2 linked regions of the Stegostoma tigrinum genome follow. The protein of the gene in region 2 interacts with the protein of the main gene of each other region in a biochemical or structural test. Links are inferred from orthologs where the notes say so. Each region holds a gene or a part of one and is shown on either strand. Other genes may lie near its edges. The genes, in order: flt3 and syk.

Region 1 (10,383 bases), on a different chromosome or scaffold from region 2:
TCCTCTTTTACCTTAAACCAATACCCTCTAGTTTTGGACTCCCCACCCTGGGAAAAGGTTTTGGCTGTTCACCCTATCCATGCCCCTCATGGTTTTATAAACTTCTACGAGGTCACCCCTCAGCCTCCGATGCACCAGGGAAAATAGCCCCAGCCTATTCAGCCTCTTCTGAAGCTCAAACCCTCCAACGCTAGCAGCATTCTTGTAAATCTTTTCTGCACCCACTCAAGTTTCACAACATCCTTCCTGTGGCTGGAGACTAGAATTGAATGCAGTATTCCAAAACGGGACTAACCAATGTCCTGTACAGCTGCAACACGACCTTGCAAGTCCTATACTCAGTGCACTGTCCAATAAAGGCAAGTGTACTAAATGCCTTCTTTACCATCCTGTCCACAGTGACTCCACTTTCAAGGAACTATGAACATGCACACCAAGGACTCTTTGTTTGGCAATGGCCCCCAGAACCTTACAATTAAGTACATAAGTCCTGCCCTGATTTGCCTTACCAAAATGCAGTACCTCACATTTATCTAAATTAAACTCCATCTGCCACTCCTCAGCCCATCAGCCCATCTAATCAAGGTCCTGTTGTGCACTGAGATAACCTACTTCTCCGTCCACTGCACAACCAATTTTGGTGTCATCAGCAAACTTACTAACTATACCTCCTATATTTACATCCAAATCATCGATATAAATGACAAAAAGCAGTGGGCCCAGCACCAATTTTTGTGACAGACCACTGGACACCGGCCTCCAGTTTGAAAAGCAACCCTCTGCAACCACCTTCTATCTTCTATTTTCGAGCCAGTTATGCATCCAAATGGCTGGTTCTCCCTGTGTTCCATGTGATGTAACCTTGTTAACCAGTCTGCCATGCAGAACCTTGCCAATTGCCTTAGAGAATTCCATACAGGCCATGTCCATCTCTCTGCCTTCATCAATCCTCTTCATCACTTCCTCAAAGAATCAAACAAGTTAGTAAGAAACAATTTCCCACGCACAAAGCCATGTTGACTATCCCTAATCAGTCCTTGACTTTCCACATACATGTAAATCCTGTCCTTCAGATTCAATATATATATTCATAGCCATTTTGAGAGGAAATCCCAATGATTCACAACTCTTTGAGTGAGGCAATTTCTCCTTTACTGGTTATAATGTCAAAATCATACTCTGAAATTGTATTCCCTAGATATAGATTCCCAGCCTTGGGAAATATACTTTCAGATGTACAGTGTCAAGTTCCTTAAGAACTTTACATTTCAATGAAAGCTCTTCTCACTCTTCCAAACTCTAGGGAATATAGGCCTAGCCTACTCAATTTGTCAGAGGACAATCCTGTCAACCCAGGAATGAATGCAATAAGAGAGAGTCCTTAGGTTGCTATCAGCATCTTTCCAACTATGTAAGAAGTCATATGCAACAAACTGATTGGGGTGGGAAAGATTCATATACTCCTTAAGGAAAGAGACAAAAACTAGTCAGTATTGCAGGTGTGGTCTCACTGAGACCCAAAATAAGGCAATGAGAACTCCTTACTCTAATATTTCAATCTCTTTGTATTTAAGTCTAACATTCCATTTGCATTTGAGATTGTCTCCTGGACATGGATGTTAATGATCTGAGTACAAAAAGCAGAGAAGTTTATGCATGATGATAGGTGGCATCAGAATCAGGTTATAACAATGAGTATTAGCCCAGTATTTCAAGCCAGTTTAGTGGGGGAGACATTGTCCACCTCCTTCTGCAATTTGCAAAGAATGTCTGTGAAGTATCTTTTGTTGGAGTTCATACTGAGCAATTCCATAATGCAGAAGTCTTGTTCTACTGGCTACTTCCAGAGATGAACACTGAGATAAGCAGCGCTGCTGCTGGAGGACCGTTAGTCTTGGTGAAAAATGTTAATAAGGACTGAGTATTGCAGACTGGTACATTCCAGGTTTAGAACATGGAATGGTGAACGGCTCCTGTTGAATGTTGATTTGTCATAGCGCATCGAAGGCTAGAAAATGTGTAAAATCTCTATAGGATGGGTCTGGCATCTTTGCCACAGGATGTATTGTAAATATTGGCAGCAACCGTAATTGCATTGCATCAGAAAAATATAAATACTTTGAGGAATAAAGTATATAGCTTGTAAAAACTATTACCGAGACTACATACTCAGGTTCAATAAAAACTGAAATTGTTAGAGAAACTCAGCAACTCTGGCAGCATCTGTTAAGCGAAAGCAGAGTTAATGTCCAATGTCCCTACTCTAAAAGCGATAGTAGCTGAGAAAAGGTAGAATATATGCTGCTGACAGTGGCAGGGATGAATAGGAGAAACAAGTGAGCAAATAGGTAGAGACAGAGTCCAGGAAGCAACAAGAAACTAGGTGTAATTTTATTTTGCGTACTCAGGTTTATGATTTGGAAGATGATGGCTATTAATGTTGCATTGCTATGATTATTATATGCAAGAAGAGAATTTTAAGTCAAAGAATGACAGAATTATTAAGGTGTTGAAGGAGGCCTTTTGGCCCATCATGTCTGCACCTATTATTTAGTCTTTTTCCCCATACCCCTCCACACTACTTCTATCCAAATAATCATCCAATGCTTCTTGAATGCCTCAATCGAACCTGCTTCCATCTCATCTCCAAGCAATGCATTCCACACACGCTGCGTGAAAATGTGTTTTTTTTTCCTCACCTTTTCATCGCTTCGAATGTACATCAATTTAAATGTTGCGGGTCTCTGGACTAAATGTACGTTTTTGCTTGGTTTTCTTTGGCAGCATCATGCGTAGGATATAATTCGCGCGGTTAGAGGATGGCAGATGTTTGTGCCTGCGGAAAAGTGTCAAGTCGCAATTTGAGGTTTAGTTTCCCCTCAGAATGAAGGAGTAAAAGTATTGTTAGTAGCAAAGGGGAAATGTTTGGCGTGTGAGCAGCGGAGGAGGGGGCGCACATTTTGTTTCACTGTTTTCCGGATCACTGCCCGGGCAAGGGACATTTTAAGAACGAGAGGAAAAAATGTGTCACTGGTACTTTCGAGCTTGTTTATGTCCTCTTTCCGCTTTTGCCACACGTGTTTCAACTACAGACGAAAAAAAAGGTGAGTAGAAGTCTCAGATTTTTGATTTAGTAATTCGAAAACTCGCACTGGCTCCACATTTGCTACTCCCGCATCTAGATTTCACGCTGCAGTTTCCTTCTGTTTAAATGCTATGGTTAGGTTACTATTATCAGATAAAATCTGCATTTCCTTTCGTCTTTTGTGTCCACTATTAATTTTACTAGAACTATTAGGAGGTACCGTGGTTCAGTGACTAGCACTACTGCTGTCTCTCAGTGGCAGGGCTGGGGTTCGATTCCTGCCTCGGACGAGTGTCTGTGTGGAGCCTGCACGTTTCCCCGTGTCTGCTTGGCTTTCCTTCCACAGTCCACATGTGCAGGTTAGCCATGCTAAATTGTCCATCGTGTTCAAGAGTCTGCAGGGTCTTTTTTATTTTATGTTTCTGAACAGGCTAGGTGGATTAGCCGTGGGCGGATGCTCCTTAGAGTGTCGGTGTGGAATGGACGGGTCGAACAGCCTGCTTCCACACTGCAAGAGATTCTACGAATCTAATATTGGTTTTCCTCACAAGGTAAATCATTCTGTGCAGTTAATAAGTTTTCGGGCCTAGCTTTCCTTTTGATGGGAGAAACAGTCTTGCCAAACCTTTGTCTATTCATTGACTGAAACGGTGTTCTAGATGTTAGAAAGCTACTCTGTATCATCTGTCAGATCAAGTGCAGATTTGGGATCCAAACCAACAATATTGGCAATCTTGTTCCGGAAATAGATGTTCTTTAAACTCAATGCAGTATATATGTTTATACAGAAGTGAAAACATGAACCTAAAAGTGTTGATATTTGTAAGGTTGCATGCAAACTGCACGTGTCCCCGTTAGGAGAGGTTTCCACACTTTTGGCCAGTGACATTTCTGACATACTCTTAAACACGCAAGTAAAATTACCATGCAAATGGGAATTCCCAGTTGCATTTATAACACAGCAAGGTAGGTATTGCGAATCGTTGTTACTTTTTCGCCCCATCAATGTTAAACATCAAATCCAAAGGCACGTCCTCCTCAGTAGTTTCTTATCTGCTGTTACACAAAATAGAACTTACATATTTACTTCATCTTTCACCTAGAAAGCAATTCCAATCTTGGCGTGTTCCGTAATGGCTATGACTGCTGTCTTTTTAGTTTCATAAACGCTGCACGAATTATAAACTGGGAACCCAAGGGTAGGAAATTTATTCTATGCGTCTTATGTGAGGAGGACAGAACAAAACATTTGTTAGAGATTGTTTCCAAATCGAAGCCCTGCTCTTTCTTTAAAAAAAACTTTATCATATCTTATTGTATAGTTGTGATACCGTGTCACCGCAATAGAAAACTGACCTTTCTATGCTTAAATAAAAGAGATACAATGTTTAAGAAAATGGCTTAAAAAGTAATTACAACTGGCGGTCTAGATGCAACGGTCCGCTTTCAATAATGTTGGACCGAAATGATTCCATTGATATGAACTGCCGCTACATACACGTGAGTGACCCAGATCCACGCATCAACAAAGGAAACAAAAATCTACCTGTTCGCGTTGTTAAATGTTTGTGTTGTCCGTATCTCTTCTCGCAGTTTGAACCATTATAATAGCATTTAAACTAGTTTGCAGCATACACTGAAAAACGTTTAGTCAACAATTAAGATATTACATCTTTCCACAATAAACAATATCACATCTGCAATTCAAATCTCTCCATGCTACTACTCACGGCACATTTGGTCTTTCAAAGAAGTTTAAAAGCCCTGGTGTCAGATACATATACGTACTCAGAACCACGAAAAAGAGCTTGCTTGCTGTTTCAAACATGAATTCCAACATTGTGGTTCTACACTTTTTTAAATCAAAAACAGGATATGAAAATATATACTGAGATACTCCACAAGTGCACGGTGCCAAGCATTAAAGCTGAAAGTGACTGTGGGTTTTATTTAACCTGTTCATACGTCACTCAACAGGAACCAGTGCAAAGGACTTAGCCCACCCTGTTTTCAATAATGCTCTTATTAATTTCCAATGAGAAAATATAAATAACAATGTTATTTTTATTTTGCTCTTTGACTCCTGACAAAATTTCTAAATTCAATTTTAGCTTATTTAACAGAAGTTTTTTTAAAATTTCATAACAAGCGTATTTTCTGCCATTATCTTTCTGATGTTATTTGCCATCAAACGGAATTTCTTCAAACATTCTGCTTTACACGGAACATTCAAAAATTAAGTTGATCGAGTTTGATATTAATTTGAAATTCTACAATGAACCTACAATCTGAAAAAAAGTTTTAAAAAATTTATAATTCTTGCAGTGAAGACGTCATTAATAATTATTTACAAAGCTTATGCCTCGGCGGAAATTATGATGGGTCTTTGTTTTGACTGGACAGCAATGATTTGATGCAATTGAGTACATTGTTTGGTGAGAATGTGGGCAGTTATGAATCACCGTATGAGATTATAATGATATATAGGCCAGATCAGGTTAAGAATGGATGTTAAAGAACATCGGCAACCTTCGGGATTTTTAAAATCATATTTAATAATATTTACACATAGTATTTTTTTCATTTTACTTCTATGTGCGTTTGTACACAGGTCCTACAGATTACCAGTTACAGTAATAAGACCATACCATCAGAATGTAAAATGAACATACTGAAAGTTATCTCATTACTTAGTTTAAAAAAACACGTTATGAGGGGATTTTCAGCAATGAAATTAGTTTCAGAATACCACATAGGTGGAAGGGAAATTGTTTGAATAGGATTTTGACCAACACTGTGAAGTTGCTGAGGGAATCCGGGCTATTTCAAACGTCACAGTGAATGGGGAATTTATACAGGGCTTGAGTCTCTGGCCAACATTTGAAAATACATTTCTTATACAAATGATTAAAATAATTTATTGAAATTAATGATTCAATTGTTCAATGCCAGTAAACAGCTGAGTGTCCAATGGAACAATTGCAAGTATTGAAGGAGTACTTTGGTGCTCACAAATGGATTGCTGTATAGACTGAAGAATTGTCAGCTGGTAAACAAAGCAAAAATAGTAGTTCAAATCAAATCCATCAACATTGCATTTCTCTAAAGGGGCAAGTATAGGAAAGGTACGTAGTTTGAAAGTATCATTCATGTCACATGAATGTCACCATGCAACAGGTGAGAACAGGGCTGTGCAAATCAATGACAAGAAGCACCATGATTAAAAAGTAATCAAAACAGTATATTAAAAGCTCGTTGCTGTTCATCAATAACACCAAAATTTAGAGACATTTTTTGATTTCTATTGTTACAAAGTTGCGTAGAGTAATTGTGAATTGGAAGGCAGGCAGCGAGAATATGTTTGTAAAAAAATGATAAGGTGGGGAAGAGTGCGTAGTCCCTTTAAGAGGTGATGTGCGTTTTTAAGCTCGGAGATTGAAATGTAAATGTATCTGTAGGCTGCTGAATAGGTACAGACAGTTCGGAAATTGAAACTTATCAATTAACTGTGTGATTGCAAACCTTAAGGTTGTTTTGATGTTTTGGCAACTAACTGGAATCAGTCAATTAATTTAAGCCAAGCACTTTGGCAATTGAAAACCAATTGAATTTAAATCTGATGGTTTTAGCAACCTTGAATCAATGCTATTGTAAGAAAATTGATATGTCATCAAAGGTTTGTAAGGAGAGGGTTTTTGAAAATTGGTGTGAGAGCGACCTCGCCATCTGATAAATAAATATCTGATTCTCACAAGAAATTACTAAACTGTCTCGGAAAACACCATCTACCCATAAAAGGTACTATGGCATTTCTAACTAAGAGTTCTCACAGAAGACTTCATAGAGAAAGCATCCCTGACAGCCGGATCAGTGGAAGAAATGCATTTATGAGTTCAAAATAGCAACAGAAAGGCATGTGGACTTTGAGAGACTAAGCTTTAATTTATTTTCTTATTACTTGGACGTATACCAGTGGGACTTGTGTTTATTGGAGTAGCATACCAGTAGAATTTTGTTGGTAGTTAAGGAGGAATTTTTTGTTTTTGTTTTTTTTTCAAATTATGCTAATTTGTGCACTGTTAGGGTTAAATAAATTGTTATTTGTTACTTATAAAGTGGATATCAGGGATTTTCTTCCATTTAACCTCCCCTTCACCGTAACAATTTAACAGATTAGACGAGGTAAGCTTCTCTGGGTGTTTCGGATTTAATTATTACAAGGAGACCTCGTCTTTTGCTATAAGAGATGGAGGGCTTGTGTTTCAATTTTAGTTATCAGAGGGCTTCAACCTCTCCTTCCTTACACTATCCTGCTTCACTGATACTTATGTATTATATGTATTAATATTGAGGAAAGAGAACATTTTATTAGCGAGAATATTCCTAAGCTTTTGACTTTAAATTGTTAATTTGATATTGCTTTTTCACAAATGTAATGAACCTAAAATATTAAAATACCAAAACAAGCAATTTAATTCACATAAATTATTTCCTTATATGAAAATGTAAACCTCTTAAAACAATTTCAGCTGTTGGATTTCCTTGGGGAGACATTTAATATCTGGACAGTATGCTGGTATTTACATTTCCAAGCAGTAGTGTAAAATTTTATTCAATTAGCTTTTCAACTTGCTTTTTATGAAAGTCATACTTGAGAACACAGTTAAACTGGAGTGGAATATACAACTTCAGTCTGCTGTGTAGATGATATCTGTGGCTATCTTTGCTGTTCTGTTCCTCAGTCTCTGCACATAAAGGTTCAACATTCAATTCTTTAATAATTTAACTTTTGTTTTTAAAGTAATTGTACAGCTGCTGTGGAACTTTGATAAAACACTATCTCATACATTCACAATTTCTGTTTGCTTTTGTTTTTATAATCTCTTGAGTTGCCATTTAGCCACCTGATGATTTCATCCACTTAGCAAACTTGTTCTGAGATGTCTCTGCTTTGTTCTTGAACTATTGCAGTACTTTCTTTTAGGCTTTTCCATCTGGATGTCTTCCAGCAAAGGTACTATGCTTTTGAGTGAAATGCCTCTTAAGATTTGATTTCTTGGTGTTGGCTAATTTCTTATTGCAAATGAGATACACAGGGAGGCTAGCCAAATTTGGAATGAATGCGAATGAATCAGTCCATTCATCTTGAAAATCTGAATTTTCCTCTTCAATTCTTCTCTCCTTTTGAAGCCATTTCCAAAGCAGACTCAAAACAAGGATGCGGTTAAGTTTGTCCCCTTTCAGTGATTATGTGCCTGCTTGCACACAAGGCACGTGCTTACCAACACAGACCCAGCATCAGGGCCAGAGTAAGACTGCTCTTTTATTGATTAATGTGCGTCCCTGCACGTGTTCACCAGCATAGCATCAGGACTATCAAAAGCATTTCTGTTGCAATTGACTAATCAGCTTCTACATGTTGCACATTCGACCAATGACAGTTTAATTCCAGTTTTAATGGCCAATCAGAATGTGCCATTGTAGGTGTGCTTTTTAAACAGATCAACCAGGGTTAGAGTGAGTGTGATGTGTTACTGATTATTGAGTCTGTTTGTAGGTGACCCATACGATTCAATGGTGGTCAACAATGTAAAAAAGCCTTTTGCAGTGCAGGGGTAATGACCCTACCTCTCAGCCAGCAGGTCTGGGTTCTAGTCATACCTGAACTATGTCATACTTGTTTGAACAGGTTGATTGGAAAATATCCAATAGTGCACAGTCTCATTTTCCCTGGCAAAACATTCGGCAAACAAGAATGTTTGGATAACTGATTTTTTAAATGTATTTCTGAACTGGGAGTACATTGGAGAACGATTCTTTGAAAATGTTTTCAGTAAATGTTTGAAAGATGTATTCCTTTTATGAACCAGAGTCATAAAGTTGTACAGCAAGGATACAGACCATTTGACCCATATTCCTCAAAATCTTTCCAATTCATGTACACATCTAGATGACTTTTAAATGTTGTAATTGTACCAACCTCCACCATTTCCTCTGACAGCTCATTCCATACATGCACCACCCTCTGCATGAAAAAGCTGCCCGTTAGGTTCCTTTTATATCATTCCCCTCTCACTTTAAACCTAACCTTTCTAGTTTTGGACTCCTGTACCCTGGGAATAAGACCTTGGTTATTCACCCCATCCATGACTGTCATGAGTTTATAAACCTCCATAAGGTCATCCCTCAGTCTCCGATGCTCCAGAGAAAATAGCCCCAGCCTATTACAGAAGCCACACATTGGATTCCAGGGTCTCACAAGCTGCCGAGTCCAACATTAGGTTAAACAACTCACAAATGTGAGTCTGACTAAGACACAATAGGCAAAATGTTATGTCTTATAAAAAACTGGAGGTACTTCTGCTTAGTGGTGAGGCAGATTTTCTCATGCAGTTACGTTCTTTTAAGTTCTTTACATATTCAGTAGGTAAGGAGCCAAATTTTTGTGACCGGAAGTTCTGGCTCCTGTTGGGACCTTCCAGGCACTCTGGTTAAAAGGCAACCAGACAGCATCACTCTCCACAAATTAGCTCATCACCCCTACTCATCCCTGAAAATACCTGAGATTTGCCTGAAGAATGTCCCATACTTCAGTGATACCTCTCTAAGGCTGCTTCTGCAGGGTGTCTGTGAGAGAAAGGTTGTTTTATTTTGTACAGTGGCAACAAAAGGCCAACCCAAGTCACTAAAGCAGCCTGAGCTGACCTGACTGTGGAGGTTACTACCTGTGTGAACCATCAATGTCCAGGAGGATGAATGATTTGCTGCACACACCAAGCTAAGTCCCAATGTGTACTCAATGATTCATGCCCCAATGAATGAGTTTTCATTGTCAACTTGCTACTTCAGAGGATTATCACTTCCAAGATTGACTGCCACCATCTCCGTCACCGCATGTGCAATCAATGTGTGCCACTTCATTGCACCTACCAGGATTGAACTTCTAGTGCAACAGTGCTACTTCTGAATCTAACCTGGTTTACACTTCAAACATAAATGGAGCTATACGCAGCAACTTATGCACTATCAGCTCATTGATCTTGTCGCAATGAGGTGAACTTGCGCATCTGATAGCTTCTCACTATAGGCTTGCGTGGGACAAGGATACAACCGGAAAAGATGGCTTCAGGAAGAACACCTCACAGGGTTAAAGGGGACACACACAGTTTACAGTTTCATTGATTTCCTTCAACTCTAGCTCCTTGACCACATTGAACCAACTTTCATTCAGGGCCCTTGAACTGCTAACTTTCTCCATACACTGTCTTCTTACAGATATATCACTTTGGTGAAGACAA
Region 2 (10,815 bases):
CTGAGAGGTGGCAGATGGAGTTCAACCTGGATAAATGCGAGGTGATGCATTTTGGAAGGTCGAATTTGAAAGCTGAGTACAGGATTAAGGATAGGATTCTTGGCAGCATGGAGGAACAGAGGGATCTTGGTGTGCAGATACATAGATCCCTTAAAATGGCCACCCCAAGTGGACAGGGTTGTTAAGAAAGCATATGGTGTTTTGGCTTTCATTAACAGGGGGATTGAGTTTAAGAGTCGTGAGATCTTGTTGCAGCTCTATAAAACTTTGGTTAGACCGCACCTGGAATACTGCGTCCAGTTCTGGGCGCCCTATTATAGGAAAGATGTGGATGCTTTGGAGAGGGTTCAGAGGAGGTTTACCAGGATGCTGCCTGGACTGGAGGGCTTATCTTATGAAGAGAGGTTGACTGAGCTCGGTCTCTTTTCATTGGAGAAAAGGAGGAGGAGAGGGGACCTAATTGAGGTATACAAGATAATGAGAGGCATAGATAGAGTTGATAGCCAGAGACTATTTCCCAGGGCAGAAATGGCTAGCACGAGGGGTCATAGTTTTAAGCTGGTTGGTGGAAAGTATAGAGGGGATGTCAGAGGCAGGTTCTTTACGCAGAGAGTTGTGAGAGCATGGAATGCGTTGCCGGCAGCAGTTGTGGAAGCAAGGTCATTGGGGTCATTTAAGAGACTGCTGGACATGTATATGGTCACAGAAATTTGAGGGTGCATACATGAGGATCAATGGGATGCACAACATTGTGGGCTGAAGGGCCTGTTCTGTGCTGTACTGTTCTATGTTCTATGTTCAACAGCATTGTATGTGCATGCATTATCCAAACTGCTGAAGTTTAAGAAGGAGCTCACCAAAACCATGTCAAGGGCAATGAAAGATAACCAACAAATTCTGGCCTTGCCAGTATTATTCATATCCCATGAAAGCACTCAAAGGTGCTGTGTCTGACACAACTGAATGAGGGAAATAACTTGCAATTACATGGTATTCTATGCCAGATTACTCCAATGTGCTTAATGGTCACTGAAATCCTTTTAAAGTGTAGTCACTTTTGTAGTGACCAATATGCACAGTACACAGCCCAACAAACAACACTTAATACTTAATAATTTATCTGTATTGGTTGAGGGATAATTGTCAGCAACATGTTTGCCTTACATATCTTTGAACTGTTCGTGAAATATTGGGAAAGCCAATGTAAAGTAAAACTGCATACTGAATCTGGAGGACACTTAAGACTGGTGCCTAGGGAGGACATTTGGAGATGTGCTAGAACTTGTCAAGACCTTTAAAAGTCTTTCAGGATATATGCAACAAAAGCTAGGCAAGAATAAGAATAAGAGTCTGTGTGAGGTAAGGTGGGAGTTTTGACAGGAATGTTAGATTGCATCAGCACTCAGCACTCCTTCCTGATTATCATGAATATTGCAACTGAGAACATGAGGCAGGAAATATCAAGTCAATGATATTTGCAAAGGGCATTCAGCTATGTGGAGAGGATAATGAGAACGTGACTGAGTTCTGAAGAATTGAAGAGAAATGCTGGAAGAAATGAGAATGAAGATAACAGAACATAGGCTGTCAGCTTCAGCCCAGGAAATTAAATCAGAGTGAAGCTGTAAAGATAATGGGAAAGATCTGGAGAAAACGGAGAGTTGAAAGTATCTCGGATCAATGATGGCAGAGGACAGAAGAACGAAAATTGAAATTAAACGACAAATTATTTCTGGTTGGAGTAATGGATGAAATGCAGCATTTGGGGTGGCATGATGGCTCAGTGGTTAGCACTGCTGCTTCACAGCACCAGGGATCCAGGTTCGATTCCAACCTCGGGTGACTGCGTGGAGTTTACACATTCTCCCCATGTCTGCGTGGGTTTCCTCCAGGTGCTCTGGTTTCTTCCCACAGTCCAAAGATGGGCAAGCTAGATGGATTGGCCATGCTAAATCGCTTGTAGTGTTCAGGGATGTGTAGATCAGGGGGATGGGTCTGGGTGGGATTCCCTGACGGTTGATGTGGATTTGTTGGCCCGAAGGGCCTGTTTCCGCACTGTGGGGATTCTAATGATATTGTTAATTGATACACAACTGTCACTGAAACTGAAAGAAAGAATCTGCAAGACAGTTGTATGACCAGCTCTGTTATAAAGCACAGAAATAGGGGCAATGTCAATAAGACACTAACAACTGGATACTCATGAGATGCAAAGAGCAAGATTGATGTGTGGAGTAACGAGAAAGGACATGATTAGGAACTAGGACATCGGTGGGTCAAGTAAAGACTTCGGCAGCATCATATAAAGTAGCCAAGAAGGGCTTTTGCAGGTAGTGTTTTCGGATTAATGCTGTGTTCATGGTGCTGAGAGAACATGACGATTGTGGCAGTAAGGGTGAACAGCCTGAAAACTGGTTGAACTACACATAACAGAAGATGGCAGTTAACGTCGACGCCGCGGCAACCTAGCTGCAAGCATCAATTTCGTTCCCATTTTGGTTCGTTTCTGGTTGCAAAATATTTGCAAAACCCACAGTGAGACAAAAGAAAATTTCAATATTATACAAAGAAATAAAGTGTAATTGCTTTAACACTAGGTACGTCTGCGCTATCAGAATAAGCAGTCTTTTAAAATAGTTCCGTTTAAATGATTGTATTTTTGCATCTGAAGCAACAAGCTCCGATGAAAGGTCGTATGTCTCAAAAGTAACTGTTTAAACATGCTGCTTAGATCTGCTGAACATTTCCAGCATCCGCAACATTTCGTTTTGTTTGTGTTTCGCATATTCTATATACTGAATTTTTCCGCCCTCAACTAAATATGAAGACGCGACAAGAAGTTCACTCATTAAAACAAGTTGAAATGGAAGAAGAGCAACTAGCGATACCGATGCGCCTAAAATTCCCTCGCCCTAGGTTCCCGCAGATTTATATTCCTATTCATAAAGACGCCCATGAAATGAGATTAACGGTTGCGTAAAAAATCAATTTGAAGCAGCGGCCGGAGGAAAACAGATCGGGGGAGCCTAAAAAGTCACAGTTCGACTGTGGAGCGTTCAGCTCGTGTTTGACTGAGGATCCGTAACATATAGAAATATATACAACTGCACAAAGACTGGCTGATTTTTTTTCAGTTTATCTAGTTTTAAATTTTCAACACTTCATAAAATAAAATGAAGACAACAGCAAGATTGTAAATGTATTGTAATGCTAAAGAGGTTGTGAGAAGATAAAAATATACGTATTTAACAAGCGTGACACAATGATAAGATTGTACTGACTCCAAACTGACTCATCTAGTGTCACTTCCAGACTGCGCTCAATCTTCTTAAACTTTATATATGTAGTCAAGTTTTTGTCCTCGTTGAATTGGCAACGTTTCCTGATCACGGGATCAAAAACCGCTCGGCCAGTAAATGAAATTATCCGTCCACTGGTTCACAAATAACTTCAGAATTTATTTGTGATCAAAAAATGCAAGTTAATTTGAACCATGCAAACAATATCCGAGATAAGCATTTGTAAAAAGCCAACTTCCCTATTTCCTACCGTTGCAGAAGTGCCTGGAGCAAAATGGTACTTGCCAAAACACTATGTGCACAATTCTGGACGAATGCATGCTGAAGTGCTCACGAAACGAAATCCAATGTTAAAAACGAGAAAGGAAAGAATATGAACCCTTGTTGAATAGAGGGAAACACGTTTTTATTGTCGAAAAATAATTTGCTTCCTAAGTTAAATTACTAATATACGGTGCGGCGAAAACATACTTCAAGGAAGTCCACATATTAAAATTCACATTTCCCAGTATTCCAAAAAGTCCTTACCTGTGCGGCCTTGTTTCCTTGAATTCACTTGTCACTGTCACAGGCTGAACTGATTATTTTAAAAGTTAATTAATGACGGGTCCGTTTTTGATGCGAATTAAAATACAGAACAACTATGCGTATCTTAACATAAAAAGGGCACTGGAGAAACAGCACCGCACGATCAGCAATACCCCAGACAGTGTGTTTTAAAAGAAAAATAGCCCACACTATTTCAGATCCGCAAACGCATGTTGAAAATTTTAATTGCTTTGGACACTCGATGCTGGTTGAGAGAATGAGCTGTAGGCAGTTACTTCCTCTTTCCATCTCGAGTCCAATCCCCATTCTTACTTCCTCGAGTCACTTCATTCCAAAAAACTTCCTCCTTTCATGGAATCAGCAACTGATAAGACAAATTGTGGCATAAAATTTACAATTACAACGTTTACAATTACTCCGATAGGTTAGTTTCGTTTCTTTCAAAACACATAATTGGAATTTAATCCAAATAGTTACTGAATTAAAAAAACACTATTTTCGCAAATACATTTCATTAACAGGGCATGTTCACGACAGCCTGTGAAGATGTATCCCAAAGAAACAGTGTTATGTTGTAAGAGATTTATGTTTTCGGGCTTCAAGTGTTTTTGATTCTTTAAATTAGCAAACAATTTTTAATTGCTCACTGCGAGAATGATAGCATCCATTAGCAAAATACGATTTTTGCAACAGCGTTAAGACGGCTTTTCAGGATCTAAGTGATACTCATAGAGTCACATTTGTATTGTCTCTGTCAAATTTTGTCGATAGATAATATTTTAAATTGATCTGAACCATTAAAATAATAACAACTATGATTAAGTTGGTGACATCCAGGTTAAATCCCAGTTTGGAATTCGAGCAAACTGTATGTGCCGGCAGTTAGAACCTGTATTGCATTACGAGAGTTGGTGTCTTTCAGATCAAATGTTAACCTGAGGCCCAATCTGTAAAATATCTCAAAACTACACCAAGTCGTGTATCGAGTGCGCACTGTGAATGCGTTGCACATAGCTCTTGAACATATCAATTTAAATAACCTCCTCAACATTAGAAAATGACAAAATGTTCAGTTATGTGCAATGGAGTCAATAACCACTACCGCTTGCCTTTCCGGGTTGATTACCCAAGTACAGGAATCATTGCAGCCATGAAAACCGAACTATTTTGCGCATGCGTTCGAATTTGGGGCGGGATTAAACTCCTGACGACAGAATTCGCTCCGTCCCGGACCTGTACCTACGCAATGATGTTCTGATTAAGAAAGAAGCGCGAGCAGTTTGCTTTCCCATTACCAATCGCAGTCTAATGTTGCCACGTTGTACGGATTGGCAGACCTGTGCATTGATAACTGAAGAATGGGAATTTAAATTAAAAACATGCCAAACTCTATTCTTTTAGACCCTACCAAGCCAAAGACTTTCATCGAGTGCTGTCAAATGCAATCCTCAAAATTTGCAAAATCTGCAGACTCCAGTTCCCAGTAACACTCAATCCTCTCTACTACTATCATAACCTAATCAATTTGGAACTATTTTCTAATCAATCTGTTGGAAATATTAGTGAACATCTCTGGAACATGTGGGACTGCTGGGACAGGTTAGGCTCAAGATCCTGTCATATGGACATGGCCACTCATATTAAGTGAGATGAAAGGGGGTGTCGGAGCTATTACTGCTGCAAGTGGGGAAAGCTGGCACTGTCTCTTGAGTGAGGGGTAGGCTTTCTTCTTCATTCATTCACAGGATGAGGATGTCACTGTCTAGGCAGCATTTATTGCCCATTCCTAATTGCCTAGAGGGCAGTTAAGAGTCAACAACATTGCTGTAGGTCAAGAGTCACATGTAGGATAAGGATGACAGTCTCCTTCCCTAAAGGACATTAGTGGACCAGGTGAATTTTTCCCTGTCAATTGACAATGGATTCACAGTCATCATTAGATTTTTAATTCCAGATATTTATTGAATTCAAATTCCACCTTCTGCAGTGCTGGGATTCGAATCTGAGTCCTCAGAATGTTATCTGGATCTCTGGATTAACAGTCCAGTAATAATACCATTAGGCCATTGCCTACCCAAACAGAGGCATGCAAGTTTAGTGGTGTGAGGAGTGGTGATGTGTGTTAGCAAGTGAGAGAAGATATTATAGGCAATAGTAAGAGTGGTAGAGTGTGAGCCATGGTTGGAAATGTGTGCAGTAACCAAGAGAAGATAATGGCATTTATGTTGGCAGAGTGAAGCAGGCCATTGACCTTCTTCATATGGTACTGAACACTCCTTCAGAAGGCTGGGACCTTATTGACCCTGGTGGCAACGTTGTAGATTGTCAAGGTTTAGGGTAGTGGTTACTTCCACTGGTCCTAGGGAAATTGGACTGCCCTCCTCTGCACTACTCTATTCAACAGATCCTTGGTTTCCTATCCTCAAGGTGAAGAACTCATAGCATATGCATTGACATCCACCTTCAACCTGTCTTCTATTTAATATTGGGTGGGTAAAGTGTCAGGCAGCCTACCAAACTTGAGATGCAGTGGTAGGACTTTAGGTCTATAAGTGCTTTATTTCACTACTGCTGCTGAAAGTGCCACACTAGCTGGGAAATCTTGCAGCTTTTACTGGGCAAACTGATATCAAATAGTAACTTCTTTGAAGGCCAATGGTGCCCGATGGAACTGTCCCTGACAAAAGTCATAACTTGCTTTTATGTCTTTTCTACATAAGCCTCTTGAAGAAACCCACCCCAACCCCCAAAGCATCACTCCCAGCCAAGCCCCACTGACACCCAGGACCTGCCTTGAAATCCTGATGCATTATTGGGAGTACTGAGATTCCAGACAACTATACTGATTGGCAGCCCTCTTAGGTGAAATATTGTTTCTAAATGGGAGTGAAAATCTCATCCTGAGATAGTGCTGCTCATTGCATTAAGTAGATGAGGGCAAGACATTTTGTGTTTAACAGACTTCCGACTGAGTTTTTAGTTAAGGATGGGATTGTTGAAGAAAATATACAGTTTTTTTCATCAACTTGTTCTTTGATGTAGTTGCACATCTCTGGAGCAGATGGGACTCAAAGCCAGGCTTCCTGATACAGAGATTGGAATATTAACACTACACCACAACAGCCCCCCACACACCTCAACATATCTAGCTCTTTAGCACCTAGAGCCTTTTCTAGTAAAGTAAGACTCCATCGTCTTGTGTTATAACTCTAGCTGATGGTCAAACAAGCCAGATCCCAGGATGAAATCAAACCTAATTTGGTGTATGTTTAGTTTTTTGGTTTAGTTAGTTAACTTCATGGTTAGTCTCTGAAACATATTTCCTTTAACAATGGAACAGAAGTTTATCACATAAAAGAAGAAAGCTATCTAAATATGGAAACATTTTATAGTGACAATAAAAGACACAGCAGGACAAAGTTTCACTCTGTTTCCTTACACTATCCATTCCAGAGACACTCAAAGTTGGTGAAATTACATCATGTCTTAACTCTATATTTACTCAAATGATTCCTTGCCCTTTCTGTCATGTGAATTATTGAGATAATTTGGCAAGTCTTTTCCAAGTCCATCACCGTGAAGTTTTTACAAATCTGAAGCCTGACCAACCTATCTGGTTTGAAAGCTTGCACTAACTAAAACATTCCTCTGAGGTGATGTTTTCTTCAAACGACCCTGAGCTTCTGTTAGAAGACAAACAAGTCTTGCATCCAAACTGAACCCTGATTCTCCTAAACTGAATATATTAAAAAAACACTGCTTAACCCTGAAATTTTCTAAACTGAAAACAAAGCTAATAACCTTAAATGTTTCCTGTAGCAGTTGTAAACACAACAATATAAGTATCTTTCTATTGACACCACTGGATCTGCAATCACCTACTTTCTCATAAAATATTGGATTTAGGCCACTCTGACCTTATTTCAAAGGAAAAAAGAGCAAAGAAGCAGCAAACACCCATGTCATTCTTTTTTGAAACTCAAATTCCAAAAATACATACAGACAGGCAGGCAGAGACAGACAGACAAACAGACAGACAGACACACACACTCCAATTATATTTTCCTCACAGGAGTTCTCAGATTGTAATGCAATAATTGTCTTAAAATTAACCCTTTCAAGTTAAAACAAAATGTAATGAAAATGCTCCTGAATGAAGGATTTAAAATATATTGCAATATCTATAACGAATTCTAGAATAGAGTCAGAAGTTTCACAATCTTGATGAACAGTTTGCATTTATAAGGCAATAAAAATATAATGAGCCAAACAGCCCCTTAATCTTGTTGTACAATTCAATAAGATCAGGCATGATGTTCAATATCAAATCTGCTTTCCAGTGTGATTGCATATCCCTAGATTCCCTTAGAATTAAAAACAAACTATTGTTTGCAATATATACAACTGAATATTCCCCTGGGCCAGAGAATTCCAATGTTTCACAGCCTTGGGAATGAATAAATTTATCCTCATTCTAGTCATCAGTAGTTGGCCACTTATTCTAAGTTTATACCCACTTGCCTAGGTTCTCAAGTCCAGGAGAATGATCTTTCAGCATTTACCTAATCAGGCCTGATCAGAATTTCATGTTTCAGTGTGATTGTCTCTCTTTGTTCTAAATCATGTAGCATGTAGGCCTGTTGCGCTCAATATCACTCAGAGAGTAAACTTATTGAACCAACAACCAATCTAGTGGACCATCATTGCACCTACTCTAAGAGAACTACATCCTTCCTTCGGTACAAAAAAATAAAACTGAGGAGAAGCCTTCAGGTGTGGTCTCATCAAGCCTTGCAGAATTGCAACAAGACATCTTTATTCTTTGCTCTAATCCATTTGCAATAAAGTCCAGTATGTCGTCAAAGTTCCTAAATAATCACTTTAGCTGCATGATTCATTTCTGTGTTTCATAAACAAGGACATCCACGTCTATGTGAATGTTTACACCAGGCAATTTCTCAGCATTTAAACAATTTTAATTTTTCAGTTTCCTAAAGAAAATGAATAATGTTACTTTTCCCCAGATATGCTCCATCTGCTACCTTCTTGCCATTCATCTATTTGTACATTCAGGAAAAGTAGTGAGGTGGAGTTGATCAGCCATGATCTCGTTGAATGGTAAAGCAGATTCAATGGGTCAAATGTTGTGTAAAAATCACAAGAGTTTTTTTTAATTGAACCTGCTCTGTCATTCAATGAGAATATGGCTGCTCTGATAATCCTCAACTCTTCTTTCCTGCCTTAACACCATAAACACTGATTCCCTAACCAATTAACAATCTATTTAACTCAGTTTTGACTATACTTAATGTTTCAGCCTCTACAAACCTCTGCGCTAAAGTATTACACAGATCCACAACTCTCTGAGAGAAAAACAACCTTCATCATTTAGTTTTAAATGAGCAACAATTTACTCTATGATTATGCTTTCTGGTCCTAGAGTCTCCCACAAGGGGAAACAACCTCTTATTATCTACCCTGCCATGTCCCCTAAGAATCTTGTAAGTTTCAATAAGGTCACCTCTCATTCCTCTATACTCCAATGAGTATAGGCCTACCCGACACAAATCTCCTCATGAGAAAATCCTTCCACATACAAGTTCACTATGTGAACCTTTCCTGGACTTTCTTCAATGCCTTTCCTTAGATAAAAGGGCTAAAACTGTTTACAATATTCTTAGAGTGGTCTAATTCATATTTTGCAGAGATTTATCAAGATTACTCTATTTGAATGCTCCATTTTCTTTGAAATCAAGGCGGAGAGTTCATTTGCTTTCCCTATTACCTTCTGAATGCTGCTTGGATGCTGCTTTATGTGATTCATGCATGAGGATTAGGGTTAGTGTTAACACTCTGTTCTATTACTTTTTGTAGAGTTCTTCTATCGCAATAATATTGAGCTGCCAAAATGCATAGCCTCACATTTTCTCAGATTTCACTTGCCAAATTTGCACTTGTTGATTCATAGAGTCACAGAATCCTACAGCAAAGAGACAGGCCCTTCATCCCGAGTGGGTGTGTGCTGACCAAAATGTCCATCCACTGTAACCCTTCACTTCACCCATATCGTTATAAACATTTCCTGTCCATGAATTTGTCCAAATGCTCTTCCACTGGCAGTTCGTTCCAAAAGTGTACCATCTTCTCTGGAAAAATGCTGCTCCTAAGATTCCTGTGTATTCTTCCTTAAACTGATGCCCTTTAATCATTGATTCCCCAAACCTGGGAAGGAAGACGAAGTGTATTCACCCTATTCACGTCTCTCATAATCTTACACACTTCAATAAGAAACCCCTCAGTCTCCTATGCTGGAAAAAAGCAACTCCTAATTTGCCCAGCCTCTCCCCAGAACTCGGTCCCTTGAGCCCTGGCAAAATCCTTGTAGATTTGTTCTGCACTCTTTCCAGTTTAATAACATCTTTCCTAGAGCAAGGTGATTAAAATTGAACAAGATACTCCAAGTACGGCCTCACCAACATCCTGTGTAACAGCAACATTGCTTCCCAATGTCTTTATTCAATGCCCTGACTGATGGAAGCTCGCGTGCCTAAAGCCTTTTTGACTGCCCTGTATAGCTGTGAATCCCCTTTCAGAGGACCATGCACCTGAACTCCAAGGCCCCTCTGTTTCATTACATACCATTTACCATGAAACTCCTACCTTGGTTTGACTTTTCAAAATGCAACATCTTACACTTATTTATATTAAACTCCATTTGCCATTTCTCATCCCATTTCCCCAGCTCATCAAGATCTTGCTGCAACTTCTGATAACCATCCTCACTGTCCAGGATACTGTCTATTGTAGTGTCATGCACAAACTTACTAATCATGCCTTGTACATTCCCATCCAAATCATTGATAGAGTTAGAATTTAGCAGTGGGCTCAGCACCAACCTCTGAGGCACACCATTCATCACAGGCCTCCAGTCTGACAAGCATCATTCCACTATTACTCTCTGCTTCCT

The links.
Region 1: of the proteins of syk (region 2) and flt3, one has a biochemical effect on the other in vitro, tested with the Homo sapiens proteins (2 studies listed by IntAct, with this or other methods). The link is inferred for Stegostoma tigrinum from reciprocal best matches to the Homo sapiens genes SYK and FLT3.

The regions. Positions count from the first base shown.
Region 1 is NC_081359.1:78,786,308-78,796,690, forward strand, and holds the start of flt3 (receptor-type tyrosine-protein kinase FLT3), read right to left. Parts: upstream 4,988-10,383; 5' UTR 4,926-4,987; coding exon 4,874-4,925; intron 1-4,873. UniProt on the Homo sapiens protein: Tyrosine-protein kinase that acts as a cell-surface receptor for the cytokine FLT3LG and regulates differentiation, proliferation and survival of hematopoietic progenitor cells and of dendritic cells.
Region 2 is NC_081356.1:52,824,652-52,835,466, forward strand, and holds the start of syk (tyrosine-protein kinase SYK), read right to left. Parts: upstream 5,016-10,815; 5' UTR 4,951-5,015; intron 4,213-4,950; 5' UTR 3,828-4,212; intron 1-3,827. UniProt on the Homo sapiens protein: Non-receptor tyrosine kinase which mediates signal transduction downstream of a variety of transmembrane receptors including classical immunoreceptors like the B-cell receptor (BCR).